2 linked regions of the Oreochromis niloticus genome follow. The protein of the gene in region 1 interacts with the protein of each later gene in a pairwise test. Links are inferred from orthologs where the notes say so. Each region holds a gene or a part of one and is shown in the gene's direction. Other genes may lie near its edges.

Region 1 (7,749 bases):
TGCATTGCTTTCTCAGAAGAGATTTCATTGGCTACTCTGAAATTAAGTCTATCTCAAAACTACTATTGTCTATGTAAACACTACTTGTTTGTTTCGTGCACGCCCTTTAAACTTTAGTTATGTGCAGTTTGGGATGAGCGATGTTATACCAAAAACCTCTTGATGCATTCTCAATCATCCAGGAAAGTAAATCTCCAAAAGTTGAATCTGTTCATCTGGACGTAGCGTTTTGTGGGAGAAACGTTTCTCCCACAAAACGCTACGTCCAGATGAACAGATTCAACTTTTGGAGATATACCAAAAACCGATTTCCGATGTTTTTATGTGTCTTTTACGGTCGAATATTTTTACTCATATTAGTACATAGACAGTAGTGAACATGATTTATGATTGGGTTATATATAGAAGAAAGAAATAGCCTGTTGTTGAAGTATCTTTATGACTCTGCGTATTTGTACCCATATTGTCATCAATGCAGTGCGTTTTGGTCACTTTAAGTAAGTTTATAGAACTGTTATGTTATGTTTGTTACAATTTCTGCTGCCCTCTTGGCCCTCTCGAAAGACACATTTTTAATGTCAACGACACTTTTAATCCGGGTAAATAAAGGATATATAAAACTCTCTCCAAAGCTCAGTGCAGAATTTGATGGCCACCATAAAATGATTGTGTCGTGTCAAGGTAGGTAAAGGTAGGTATATCTGAAGGAATTAGTTTCCCCTGCATCTGGAGGACGCGCTGGGCAGGGAAACCGGATCCAGTTGACTCCGCCTCCATTCAAACTAAACAGACGTGGAAGTCGTGACGTTTTAGTTTAGTGAGAAAGTAAAAGATGGGTGTCGTTAAATTACCGTTCAGTTTGTGGGTTACAACAGAAATGATACATTTGTTGTTCTCACATATTATCGGACGGGATTATTTCAACAAACCGACGACATTATGCCTGGTAATATGTATCCTCCTGTAATTTGATTGTATAAAAAGCTAAAACCTCCAAAATTTCAGTAGTAACAAGTCATTATAAGAAATGTTTGCAAACTAAAAATCAAGAATGACGGATACTGTTTGTCCGTGATTTGGACAGGCCAGCGCATGCTCCCGACACAGGGGAACCTAACTGTGTCGGGGATCCCTACCTTGTCAAGACCCGTTCATTGTGGGTTGTTGCTGTTGTTGACAACAATAAGAGTAGAGATAATTTCTTTTCATTTGTTCATATGTTTTAATTACATGAGTACACACATTTCAATATCAGCTGGACATAGCACACCAAGGGCCATGCACAGTTTAATTTTTTAGTGATGGCTGTGATCATCAATACAATTTGTAAATGTTTGTGTTTATTTAAAAGGGATAACACTTATTAATTAACGTGAGCACTTAAATTCATCATGTAAATATGCCAGATTTACCCACAGACTCATTTTCATAAACCCTGGCAGGTTAATGGCATATTAAATAAATCAACAAACCAAACATTTTGAAGCGTGTGAACATAAGTAAAATACAGAAACACTTGTGACATAAACACATGTCCTTATACCATTATTAAAGATCAAACACTATGATCACTTACAAAAAATCCCCCAAAACATTAGAATCGGACTTTCAAGGGCATTATGTCATGACAACATGTTTGATTATCCAATAATCACTATTTCACAAATTTAGAAAAAGAAATAAAGAATGTTATATATTCTTTATTTCTGAGGGTATTGTATTCCAGGTATGAGTGGCTTGATAAGACAAAACTGACTGCCCCAAAATCAATTTGGGCTGAAAAGTGCTCTAATATTGTTGTTGGCTGTACGAAGTGACCAAATCCCAGCCTCTCTAATTTGAGTTGAATTTTAGTATCTTAAAGAATGTTTATGAAACATTTAAGTATAGAGAGTTTGTCTTTTTCCATGGATAGTACAGCCACGGATAACGGACAACACACATAGGAGACATTTGACTTATAATTCTGTGTTGTTTCTGAATCGAAATAACTAAAGATGATCTACTTTAAACATTTATATAACCAAGCACTAAGGTGTCGAATGAAATGCCAAAGAAATAAATTCTAGTAATATCCCAGCTGCACATGAGACCTATCAAACCAAAGGTGCAGGCAAATAGCACTACACTGAAAACTGTCACACCCAGTTTTAGAGAAATCGCAATCAATTTACTTGTGGGCACGCACTGCAAACAGCCTAGCTGGGAATCAGCGCTATGTATGACCTACAACCTGGGTTCTTTAAGGGAAGTGGCACAAACAAATAAACGAAAAAACAAGAAAGAGATTAGTCCGCCCTTACAAGACTCATTCTCAATCATTCATAACGGCCTTTACTGCTGGACAGACTAACCAAAACAAAATGACCAATCAATCAAAAGAACAAAAAAAGGACAGCAGAGGCAGCTTTATCTGTTGAGTTCAGGGATTTATTATGAACTTGTAAACTTGTAAGTGTTGGTATGAACTTGGTACTGCTTCCTTTTAGCATAATAAATATGGGTAAGTCAGCATGAAAGTACTGAGGAAGACTAGTTTAGTGTGATTTAAAGTGTGATGTACTGATGTCCCTGCGAAAAGTGCTGTGGTTCAGAGTGAGGGCTCAGAGATGAACTAAGTCCTCTTTTACTGCCAACAGTGGGATAAACTGAGTGAGAAGATACTGCTGGTATAGCTGTTGTGGTCCTGAGAATCTGTGGTGGATGTGACTTCATAAGCCTTTGCAGAAAGGATGGCACTGAGACACTGGACTTGCTCATACTCTGGGTTCCCTCTTTATTCTGGTACAAAGATAACAGATCACAGTCGTCATCAACAGTGTGTTATGCAGCTGCAACATTCAGGTCTGTTAAAAAGGATTAGAACTGTTATAACAGTGTATTACTGATCAGTGTACGCTGGGTAGCTAGTTAACTAGTGCCGTTAGCTAAAATGATCATTCACTCTGGTTTTTGCTGCTGCTCCTAATGAGGAATGGGGGACTGCTGTGTCTGTGTTAATTTCCTAATCAACCACAGTGCTAATGTACTAAACAAAGTTTTGAAGGAAACCAGGCTCAGTGCTTTGTAGTTGCGAATCCAACATGGTGAAAAGAGGACAGAGGCCTTCTGATTGGCTGACCTCTACTGCCGTTACCCGCCCCCCCATACCTTCCCTCCACCACCACCAACACCCCTTTTTATCCCCCTTCAGTTACAAGTGCAAGTTTTGAAATGCTTTTCTCCCAAGAAGTGTTGCAAAATTGCAGAATAATGATCTGACTTGAGAGGGAACAGTCGAGTGCTTGTATTCACTGATTTAAGAGGTTGTAATCACGGAGATGTGGTTGTAAGCAGTACAAAAATTAATTAATTAATTACTTTAAGTAAAATTTAAATGAGAAGTTTGCAGCTCACAGTGTATTTGCTGATGACACCACCTACATAGGACTGATTGGGTGATTACATAGAGTGATTCAGCCTACAGAGAGGTGGTTCAGCATCTGAAGCGATGGTGTGACAACAACAACCTACATCTGAACACAGCCAAGACTAAGGAGATGGTAATTGACTTCAGGAGAACAAGGCGATCTGAGCACTCCGCCCTCTACATTGATGCAGCTTCAAGTTCCTCAGGGTCCACATCTCGGTAAAAACCTTACCTGGTCTAAAAACATTTCCCAGCAGGTAGGAAAAGCACAACAAAGGCTGTACTTTCTCAGGAAGCTGTAGCAGATGCAATTACTCCAGACTTCTAATTTACTTCTACCGCTCCACCACCGAGAGTCTTCTGACCTATTGCTGCACACTCTGGTTCAACTGCTGTACTGTGGAGGACAAGAGAAAACTGCAGCAGGTGGTGAGGGCGGCAGAGCAGGCAATTGGCACTTCGCTAACCCCCCTCAGAGACATTTATACCAGCAGACTTCAGTGGAAAGCCAGTATCATCATCAAGGACCCCTTGCACCCTGGACACTCACTTTTTTTTCTCCTTCCTTACTGTAAACGCTACAGGTCGATCAGGTCAAAGACAAACAGACTCAATGTCAAGATCAAGGCTGTCAAACATGCCCTACCCTCACCCTGATTGAAGGTTAACTGTGCTGTTAAAATCCATGGACATTTACACTGTATTTATGAACCATATTTATTATACTATAATGCAACCAACATTCTCTATTTATATAACTGTATTTATTATAGTAGCAACCAGCATTCCTATTCCTTACTTAATGCGCAATACCACTGACCACATTGCACCTTATACTGCTCTGATCACTCACTTATTCATTTTATCTATCTATCTATCTATCTATCTATCCACACACACACACACACACACACACACACACACAGAGAGAGAGAGAGATGCCAAACTGTGTTTCATTGTTCTTGTAACAGTGACAATAAAGATCTATTCTATTTTATTCTATTTGTGAGAATATCAATCTACACATTTGTGAATATTTTTCTGTAACTGTAAATTCAAAATACAAGTTCCAATTTTTCTCAGTTTTTATTCTGAAAGCTCTGTAAAACATTTGCTTTCAAAGGGGAATCTTTGTAAGTAGTATTGTTCGAGGGGCTCTGATTAATGTAACTCACAACATCCGGCGGTTTCCATGGAAGTCCACCAGCTCACGACAGCTAGCTAACATAATTCCGAGTAATAAGAACACAGTGTACGTACAGTAAATAGCTGCACTGTTCACCGATTATAGCTGCGTATTTATTAAGTCTCGTCTCAGTGGGTTTCTCTGGGAAGAGCAGAATGAACCGTTTGAACCCCACGGTTCCCGCTGACCAGTATCTCGGTAGGTCGTGTGTTGTTAGCTGTGTCAGTTAGCGCCTAGGCTAACTTTATAATCTGTGTGTGTGTCTGTGTTCCAGCGGACAGCAATGTGCTGTTCTACCTGAATGATGCTGTGATCCAGCTGCTAGAACACAAAGAGGAATACAACCAGTTCGGAGTGATTCGCTACTTCGCTGAATAGTAGGTTCCACACAGTTGTTGAAACAGTGAGACTGCAGCTCCGGTGCTTCAGGTTAACAGGTTCTTACGTTAACTAGTTAGATTTGTTTACTTATTCGACTCACCGTGTTCTTGTTGTTACTTCGTCATGTTCAAGGAATGGTGTGTCATACGGTTTAAAAGGATTATCATCTCCAACTCGCGCAAATGCACAAGCTATACGTATCAATACTATCTTCATTTCATTGTTGTCTGAAGATCATATTGATACTTACATGCATTTGCACGAGCTGGAGATGGAGCCCCCCCCCCTCAGGTCTTTAATCCTGCATTCCACAGTGACACACAGACAGGAAAAGTCTGTGAAAATGGTGAATCTGTAGATTGAACATCTGGAACACGGAGATCGGAATAAGTAACTTATCTGATTACTTGATTAATGGATGGAATAATCGATACATTATTCAATTACCGAAATCATCGATAGCTGCAGCCCTAATGTACAGTATCATATTAATCATATTCATCATATGTGTGGCTGTTGTGTGAGCATCGCATATCTCTGAAAAATCTAATCTCTAAAAAAGAAATTGTTGTTTAAGAGCTCAGTTTCACAGTCCTTCATCATGATTTTTTTTAAAGTGTATTAAAATACATTAATAATAAAAACAGTTGAATTGAAAAGCTTGTGCATACATCTATTGGGGAATTAAACATATTAATGAAAAAAATCTACATTCGGGAAATCTTATAGATGTTAATCTGAAAACGCTGCTGAGTCTATGCCTGGTTAACTCGCCTGTTTTATTAGAGCAGACATGGTCTGAGCTACTATCCCATCTTGATTATTGTCACAGTACTAAAGAAGTTAATAAAAACTTTTTCTCACACCATATTCTCTACATTACACATGTTGGCCAAGGTGGTTACCAAGAAGAAACTCATCCGTTATGTTGAATCTGACTGAAGCTAATTTACAGGGTAATGGTGCCCGTGTTTCCATACAAAGCACAGTTTATTACTGGTGTCAGAGCAGTGAAAGCCGAGCCAACGGCAGCTTGTTTCTCACACTGGTCTCCCATCAGTTTACCGTTAAAGACTAGCAATTTATCCACAGTGCACATGCACAAAACAACCAGAAAAAAAAGCTGCTGGCCAGGAGATGGACACGCCCTCAAACCAGAGAGAGCTGCAGCAATTCTAACTCCCTGTGGTCACAAGGTGGCAGGTGGGGAGCTTTGATAAGGCAAGCGCAGCTTCCCTTCCTTGTCCCGAGAGAAAGTTATTTATATAGACATATCAGAGTCAGAGAGACTTTATTAATCACAGAGAGAAATCGAGTAAATTTGTGTGTGTGTGTGTGTGTGTGTGTGAAATATATAATATATCTGGGTTTGTAATGTCTCTGTAGTTTCAGCAGTGTAAAGAACAGCAACCACGTCCTCTTCAGAGAGTTTAACTACATCCAGGCCACTCCACATAACAGAGCATCCTTCATTCGAGTATTCTGGAAATGCTACAGACAGATTGGCAAAAGTGGAGGTGAGAACACAATAACGTCTCTGGAGTGTGAAATGAAGCTGGAGTACCCCCAGGGAGAGCCCATGTAGTCATAGTAAAGAACATGGAAACTACAGACAGAAATATCCCAGCCTGGATTCACTCTCAGGATGTTATTGCTACTGTGCTACTGCTGATGACAGACCTATCCATCTGTCACTCTCCTGAGATACTAAGACCTCACCACTTGGGACAGCAACTTTTTCTTAACCCAGAATGTGCACTCTGGGTTAAGATTGAGAACTCTGGCCTCACAGTTTGTGGTCCTAATTCTCATTCAAGACACTTAACACTTAGCTTCGAACCAAACTCTGGAATCCTCCGAGCTGGAGGGTATCTCTTAATGGTAAATGGACTGATTCTTATATAGCGCCCTTGTACTCTGTCTCAGTCAAAGTGCTTTACACAACTTGTTTCATTCATCCATTCACACAAGCACTTTTTCTCTATGCTGGTTCTAAGTGCTTTTTGTCTAACATTCACATGCGCTCCCACCAGAGAATAATATGGGACTAACATCTTGTACAACGATATTTGGCATGCAGACTAGGGCAGACTGGGATCGAACCACCAACTTGCGGTTATTAGGTGACCTGCTCTACCACCTGAGCCATAATGAAGACAACTGAGTGAGCATCACTTGTAAAAAGCGGACATGAGATTCTGAGACTACCAACCCTGACACACTACAACCTTTGGTTGGACCTGTTGACCTTAAAACTCTGTCCATAAAAATCATGGACAAAATCAGTCAAAGCAGCCTTGGGAGATTCTATCACCCACTAGAAATAAGTGTGAATACAGTTGTACAGGGACCAAATAGCCCTGTACTCTTGAAACATCCCAGCAGGACACACTGACTAGATCTAAAGTTTATTATGGGATACTTAGGAAGCTGGCAAATGTAGATATAGACATTAAATAGACACCGGAGGAGTTAAATCTGTGTGATGCTGTATGTTTCTTCTTGATGTGGTTGTAGTGACTTAAAACAACATGCTTTTTCAAAATCAGTGAATTTACAAATCCTTGCAGATCAAAGAGACAAAGTTTTTGATGTGACTGTATTTGTAATTAATAAAAAAATAAAACTATGTTCATGTTATAAGTGTTACATTATTGTTTTAGTTGTCACTGACAGTTTTATGTGTTACAGTTTTGTGCTGTCATGAGTTTTCTGTTTAAAACTGATGGTTAGTCATTGTGTAATTTGTAGCCAACATATGTTTTGTGTCTTG
Region 2 (7,789 bases), on another chromosome or scaffold:
TACATCGGCTGTCTCTCACCCTTTACCCGCCCCTGTTGCTTGTCATGTGTTTCTTTGGTGTATTAAGAGTTTTTTCATGTGCTATGTGCAGAGGTGTTTTTTTTTCTGTTCTCAAACTAATCTCCCTGTTGGAGCTCAGTCTGGGGGGAGTTATTTTTTTCGCCTTATCTTTCCTCATGTGGTGCATTTTCCATTGTTATACCTCTCTGACCTGTCTTCCCCATGTGATGTTTGTGTAATGTATGTATGGTCGGAGGGTAAGATGGCGCCGCCATTGCGTGCAATAGGTCGGCAGCCTTATGAAATTTCCCCTTGTGGGACTAATAAAGGTATATCAATCAATCAATCAAACGGGACAGGAAGTGTGTCGCTTAAAAGGACGTTCATCTTCGTAAATAAATTGGATTAATCTTTTAACCGGTACCAGAACTGAAACCTCGGGTAGATGGCAGGTTTGCTTTTAGCTTCCTGAGACTATTACCTATGTTATTCTGTTCCCTCCCAGACCGTGCAATATTACCCAAGAGTACTTATTGAATATTTGTTTTCATCCCCCCATCATATGCTGCTACTCCCTTTATTCTATTGCACAATACTTTGTCACTTTCTAGAACCGCCTGCACTGATAGTTAAGTTATTTATTCACCAGGATATAGTTATATATATTACTTTGTTAGTGCAAGACATAGTATTGGATAACTCTATCCTACTGTATATTACTGTACACTATTCTTATTGTATATATTGTATATCTTATATCTATTTCATCTGTTTCTCTGTCTCTCCTGCTGCTTTGAGCATGTACGTGACAAAAGAATTTCCCTCGGGATAAATAAAGTTGTTCTTATTCTTATTCTTATTCTTATTGTAAGAGGAGGAAGGAGGACGCATGTGCAGTTTACATATACGTGCTGATAAGGCAGTTCAGGTTGGTAATGTGAACAGCAGAAAAAGAAAACCACACAATGAGAAATGAGAAGTGTTCAAAGGAGCCCCGCCCTCTGGTTTCTGTTAGGTAAAATCAGTGTGGCCACTCAGGGTAGATTAAATCCCTGTAAGATGTTGTGATCTCTACATCTCTGAAAATTCATTGCAATAATAACGTGTGAGCCCACTGTGCAGCTATGCAGAAGTATGTATGCCAGTAAACCAGTGAATGAATGGCCTCACGACTAAAACTGGATGAAAATGAAGTTGCCGTTCTCGTGTGTTGTTGGCCACGTGCACACTCAGAGGGCACGGCTTGCCCCGCAGCACAGCTGGCCGAGTACGACTACACATACAGCTGATTATTGTGATTGTTTTCTTGTTAGGCTAAATGTCCTATAAAAGAACGACTGTTGTTGAACCCTCAGCAGAGTTAAAGGTCTGCACAGACCTGTGGATGGATAACATCGTTTGTGGTGCCAAAAGCCTTGAATGTGAAGCTGTGCCGGCAGCAAACAGCTTTATGTGTCCCTGCCCTCCCACTCTCAGCCTCCATTAACGTCACTGTTGCCTTCTCGTATTCCTGTTGCACTGCATTAATGCTAATTACTCCTTAATTGGAGCTTTTATCCAACTTTGGGCTTTCAGCGTGTCCTTGTTACATTTTCATACATTATTAAAAATGCTGAACTTTAAAGCTTAAGTACCACAGGATCATTGTGTCAGTGTGAGTCACTCAGCTCAGGTTCTGCTCCATCTCTCTCATTTATAACTCATGTATATAAAATAACGTGCGATCTGTTTTGGATGCAGGGGAAGGTTCACTGTGGATTTTTGGTGTTTCTAAACTCGGTAACGTCCTGTCTCAGATGGTCACGCGTGTTTGTTTGGTGTGTTTCTGGTTTAATGTAGGCAGGACGTGATCTGTTTATAATTACACATGCATGTTCTGCAGGATGAATGTTTTCAGTGGTTTTGCAGTGGTGTTAAACAGCCTGGATCCACACAAGTGAGCTGGCTGACTGACTTTCACAGGCTCGTATCACATGATCAGAATTATCGGGACTCACATTACTCCAGAGAATCCACATTTCTTACTGTCATCAGATGTAGACTCTGTAATCACCTTCAGGTTGAACTTGTTGATGAAGACTTTTTACGCCATCTTTCCAACACTAACATTTCTCTTCTTTGTGGAAGGTGAACAAAAGCTGCTGGGACCTTTAATGAGACTACTGGAGAGACCTTCATGATCAGAGCTCTTGTTTAATGTCAGTATTGTCTCCAGGGTGTACTCACAGGTCCATCCATCCTCTTTCACAGGTCTGTAGTCAGTCGTGGTGGCATCGTTTTCCAGTTTTTCCTGGGGTGTCCTGAGCCACTCCCAGGCCACAAGTAGGGGCTCCTCCCAGCTGGGCATGCTTAAAAATCCTCCCAAGGAAACAGGAAGCATCCTGATCACGTCCTGTGGAGGAGCAGGAGCTCTATTCAGAAACAAACAGAGACTGACGTCCTTACCACTGGGTGGTGATCAGGGGACAGCTCTGGCTGGTTCATCAGCCTGCTGTAGAGGAAGTAAGGCTACAGATCACACGATTCACGAACAACGTCACTCATTGTCGTGCTGTGCTGTGGTATCGAGTGCACTTATGAGGCTAGAATAGTGTGTTTGTTCTGGATGACCCAGATCTACGCAGGAGTCCAATCATAAAACACCTCTGTGGTTCAGATCAGGCACGTTCAATCCCTCCTCTCCAGGCGTCACCCAAACAAAAGCAAAGTTTCCCCGGAGAAGCTTTTCCAGGATCCCACTAAAGGATTGACTACTGTAAACCAATCAGGGTGGTGTGGTTGTGACAGGACAATGGCGCTCAGCCGGGGGCATGTGAGCATCCCCACAGCAATCCAGCACTTCTGACCATGAGTCAGTCTGGCAAAGGAAAGAGTCCAGCTCAGACATGAGCCCAGGCCCAGTATGGAACACAGTCTCACTGGTCCCAGTTCCTCCCAACCAGTGCTGTATCCCACAAGGCAGTCTGCAGGGGGTCACATCACCCAGCCACCCCAGTGCTTCAGTTATCCATTTGGGCCGAGCCACAGATACTAGGTCTGACTCCATGAGGTGGCACTGATTTCCCTCTTCAGGTGAGGTCACTGAAGTTGTCCTGATTGGCCCTCCGTCTGGCCCCGCCTATGGGTCTGATTAAGAGACCCAACCAGGGATACCACAGCTCCCAGGATCACAGGCAAAACCTGCTCCTGTTTCTAATGTTTACTGTGCAATCAGATCTTTCATGCTTCTTTTCCATCATCGTGTTCAAGCTCCTGAAGACGGAATAACAAGTACAGGCTGTGGGAGGATGGATGAGCTTTGGAACAACATGAAATGTATTTTTCTCTTTAATTTCCCCAAAGCTGTGACGTTGAAAGGACTGCTCTCTGACTGTGAGCGTTAATGACTGAACCAGAACATGCTGCTGTGCTGAGCGGTGAAGTGGACGCCACCTCAGGCAGGCTCTGAAGTGTTTGTTTCATCACTTTTTCTCCTGTAATTTCATCTTTCTCTTTGTCTTCTGCTCAGTTTTTAATGGATGATGTTTTTAATCACCTGCTGTAACAGCATGTAACGCCATCATTAGGCACTACAAAGACTCAGGGCAGCGACAGGTCAGTGTGCTGCTGGATAGAAACCCAGACAGTAATGAGGGTGCAAGAGATAAAACAAGGAGATTCATTTGTTTAGCTGTCTGTTATCTGTCCCAGGTTCTGTCTCTGGCTGGATATTAGTTTGTAATCATTTAGTGACGGGCCAGGTCTGTTTCTGCTGAAGCTTCATAGGTGCAGGGCTACAGACTGAAATCCAAACCTTAAAGGCCGGCAGGATAAAAACAATCAAACCTTTTACTCACCCTCAGAGAATGTCAGAACAACAAAGACGAGTCTGTTCCATTTATTTGATTTCTTTCCATTTTATTTATAATGGCCCAGATCACAACAGTAGTTACCTCAGGTGCTTTATATAGTAAAGCACCTGAGGATTCCCAACAACCCCAACATTCAGGCAAGCCCTGTGATCCAGCACTCTGATTGGCTGTGCACTGTGTGAGGCACAGCAGCGATTCTCTTCAGGCAGTTTTCTGAAGACTGAACACACACAGGTGAGTGTCAGTGTGGAAGGCTAATTTTTCTCATTCTGTTCTGAAGTTTCGTAGCTGTCAGGCTTCTGCCCTTCTCTGGTTTATTGAGTTTTTCTGCCATCGCTCTAAATCTGGACCACATCCTCCAATAACGGTTGTCCACCTGGTGATGCGTAAGGAGCTTGATGATCTGAGGACCGAAGCTCATCCACATGCATCCCTCAGAGTGACTCTGAATGTGGTTCACAGGGCAAAAAACGTGACATGCTCACATTCAGGACAGGTGTGCATGTGCTCAATAATCCTGTTACCTGTGACCGGGACAGCAGAGGAGCTGCATGTGTGAGCGGGTAAACGCTGTGGCTCCTCTGGAAAGCAGGATGATGTCAGAATGGTTTTAAAGGACATTTTGTTCTAATTATCTCACTGCAGGTAAAGTGCACCATTATGTGGATGGCACTTTGGAGCTTTTCAAATCTGCAATAAAAATCCATAAAAACAGACACAACGAATCGATATCTGCCCCATCGTTACTTTATGGTTACTGGAAGCCTGTGTGTGGGCGGGACGCTGACGAGCGTCTGCTGCACAGGGTGGGGAGAAAGAAGAAGAAAAGAAGGTGCGAAAGGAGCTGTGAGGAGGAGGAGGAGGTGTGATGAGCTGCAGATAATAGACTGTTTGACATTTGGATGGACTCTCAGTGCAGAAACTCCCAGCAGGTAAATAACGCCTGTTCTCATTATCCTGAACACGCTCTTCAAAGCTCCCGCTGAGCTGAGCCTCCCCGGGAGCTCTTATTTTATCAGGTATAGCCGGTCTGGTTAGTGCCGCTGGTGTCAGATGGTACACATTTAACGCTAATTCAGTGAGCTCATTTCCAGCTTTTATTCTGGAATTTTCTTGGAGTAAAGGCCTTAGAGTGAGCGTCACGTCCTCACTGAGGATGTGTCACGTTTAGCTTACAGGAAAACACCGTCTCTGCAGCGCAGACTGACTCGGACTCTGTTTTTCTGGGTTAAATTATTTTTCAGTGTTAGCTGCACTCCCGTCCAGAGGGCGGTAGTAAAGCCCCTGAAGCTTTTTGGTAACCTATGAGTGCAGAAATTACCCCACCGAACTGTGTTATATAAATATGAAGTGTTTTGATGTATAGCCTGAAGCACATTTAAACTACAGAAGCTGAGCCTTTGACACAGGCACATTTCAAAATAAAAGATGAAGGGTGTGTTTTATTGTCTTAATTCACAGGGGTCATTAAAATGTGTTAATAATTTACAGATGATGATTCATCTCATAAATCGTGACCCCCTGCTCTCTCCTGCATAATCTGCCTTTAAAAGGTTAAAAGTATCGGCTCTGTATCGATTGATACCAAAATTCAAAATGAGGCTTTCATCAATCCGGTTGTTCAGTCTGACGTCACTGGCCGTGTCTGGGCCTAAACTCCGCTGCAGGTCCATATATCAAACGATCACTGTGGCATTACTGAGAGTTGAAAAACTGTCTAAAGTCTTTCATCTTTAATAAAATGATCAGTGTTCTGCTCTACCAGGTGTAACAATTGAGTTTAACATCCAGGCATCCATGAAAATGGAATTTATGACATTTAACGGCGTTAGAAGTTAGCAGGAAGTTAGCTCGCTAGCTTCCATCTAAATACAATATAGCATGTCCTGACTGCGGGGTTTTGGAAAAAAATTCAAACGTACAGCTCTGCTATCACTTCCAACATAAATGAAGACAGAAAACTAAACAGCAGTGACGTTTGTAGGGTTACTGAAGTTTGGCTAGCTGCTATATAATGATGTGCTACGTGACCGCTAGCGACACAGCTATGTTAGCATAATATAAACAAGCTAACTTTTTTTCCACTCGATAAAAGTTAACGTGAGTGTTCTCAGTGGTCAGGAACAAATGTAATAGCATGGCAGGATGCTGTAAAAGGACTAAACTTCAGCCAGGAGAACAAGTGAGATAATCCATCCACAATACGAGGTTAGTTATTCATATACTGCTGCATGGGCTGTGCTGTAGTTACATCGTAAGGTTTTAAAAACTGAGCTTAAATAAATGATTAGCAGTAATAAAAGCCGAGGGAGGTCAACAGTGATCACTGACTGTTTTTAGGAGCTTTTTGAGATTAAATAGAAGAAAATACAAAACATTAAACATGTTAACAACACAAAAGCCATATTAAACGCAGACTACTTTAGGCCCGGAAGTAGGATTCGTCACGTCATCACTGAACAACCGGATAAGACCTGAACTGACACCATGAAGTCCTCAGAGATCAGGTGAGCAGCAGGCCAACTCTCACCTGGACGGCAGGCTTCATGCTAGAGGTGGGCGGATCGATCCAAATATCGATAGTATCGATACCAACACTAGTATTGGTATCGCATCGATACTAGCACGATTGGATTGATACTTTGCTTTTATCTTTCAAGTTCAACATGTAGCCCCCTGAACTGTGTCAATTATTCCTTTGGAAAAAATAAACCTCAAACGTGCACTATGAAAAATGTCCGAACCTTTTTGTGTGCTTTACAGACAGAAACACTGACATACCAGGTCTCCAAAAACCCAGTTTCAAAACACACGACAAGCTGAAGGGTGTGTTTTGTTGTGTTAACTAATTATTGTGGAAAGCAACAATCACAGTGCTATAGTGGTGATTAAAATGTGTTCAGAGATTTCATCTCATAAGTCATGGCACACTACCCTCTCCCCAATTAGCTGCCTGATTGCCTTTGCAGTGTGGAGGAGCACGACTGTGAATGAGTGTGAATGTTGAATGTTGAATGTTGTTGTTGAAATGTCCAGGGAAGATATATACGTGTTCAAGTAGCGTCAATTAACCTCAGGTTTTTTTATTTCTATGTGATAATTCTTCATAACTAAACAATAAGACCAAGTAGTCTGATGTCCTGTAATCATTATGAAGCTATAATTTGAAATAAAATAACACATTAAGCTTTTGAACAAAGTATTGGTATCGGATCAGCATCGTTGATACCACCCTGAATTTTACTTGGAATTGGATCGGAAAGGAAATCAGTGGTATCGCACACAGTGTTGGGGAGTAACGGAATACATGTACCGCCGTTATGTATTTAAAATACAAAATATGAGTAACTGTATTCCGTTACAGTTACTGTTTAAAAAGGTGGTATTTAGAATACAGTTACTTTGTTGAAATAAATGGATTACACGACTGTTTGGGTTTTGTTTGACAGCTACGTTCTGTTGTTCCAGGCGGCAGCGTTGCAGTTGCCATGGTTACAGGGTGACGCGCTCTCTCTGCGACTGTGTGTTTCCTGGGTGAGAGAGCGCTTTTTGTTGTTGTTGTTGTGCTAAGCTAATAGGCAGAATGCTACAGGCATAGCCCTAAAGAATGTAGCATCATGGGCAGTGTAGTCCGTGCTGCAGGGAGAATGGACTGCCATACACGTTATGTGTCTGTGAGCGAGGGAGGGAGAGAAAGGAAAAGTCCGAGCTGTCACGGAGCAAAAACGAGAGCTGGAAGCATGTAAATATAATAATAACCACAGCAGCCAAGAAGAGTGCCTGACGAGCCCAGCTGTAAGTAAGCTATTAAGACTCGACTGTACACTGTGTTCGTGTTTTCCTCCGAAACAATAAGTTCCGTTGGAGCAGCCTTTCAACGCCTCTCTCTGTCTCTCGCTAGCAAAGTGACCCAGACAACAAAGTAAAGCTAGTTTTAG

What was found.
Region 2: the proteins of cstpp1 (region 1) and ras-related protein Rab-7L1 interact in a two-hybrid assay, tested with the Homo sapiens proteins (2 studies listed by BioGRID and IntAct). The two-hybrid records come from large-scale screens. The link is inferred for Oreochromis niloticus from reciprocal best matches to the Homo sapiens genes CSTPP1 and RAB29.

What each region holds. Positions count from the first base shown.
Region 1 is NC_031972.2:38,744,922-38,752,670, forward strand, and holds the start of cstpp1 (centriolar satellite-associated tubulin polyglutamylase complex regulator 1), read left to right. Parts: upstream 1-4,565; 5' UTR 4,566-4,750; coding exon 4,751-4,793; intron 4,794-4,869; coding exon 4,870-4,972; intron 4,973-6,362; coding exon 6,363-6,493; intron 6,494-7,749. UniProt on the Homo sapiens protein: Regulator of the tubulin polyglutamylase complex (TPGC) that controls cytoskeletal organization, nuclear shape, and cilium disassembly by balancing microtubule and actin assembly.
Region 2 is NC_031984.2:592,823-600,611, forward strand, and holds the start of ras-related protein Rab-7L1, read left to right. Parts: upstream 1-4,679; 5' UTR 4,680-4,753; coding exon 4,754-4,783; intron 4,784-7,789. UniProt on the Homo sapiens protein: The small GTPases Rab are key regulators in vesicle trafficking. Essential for maintaining the integrity of the endosome-trans-Golgi network structure.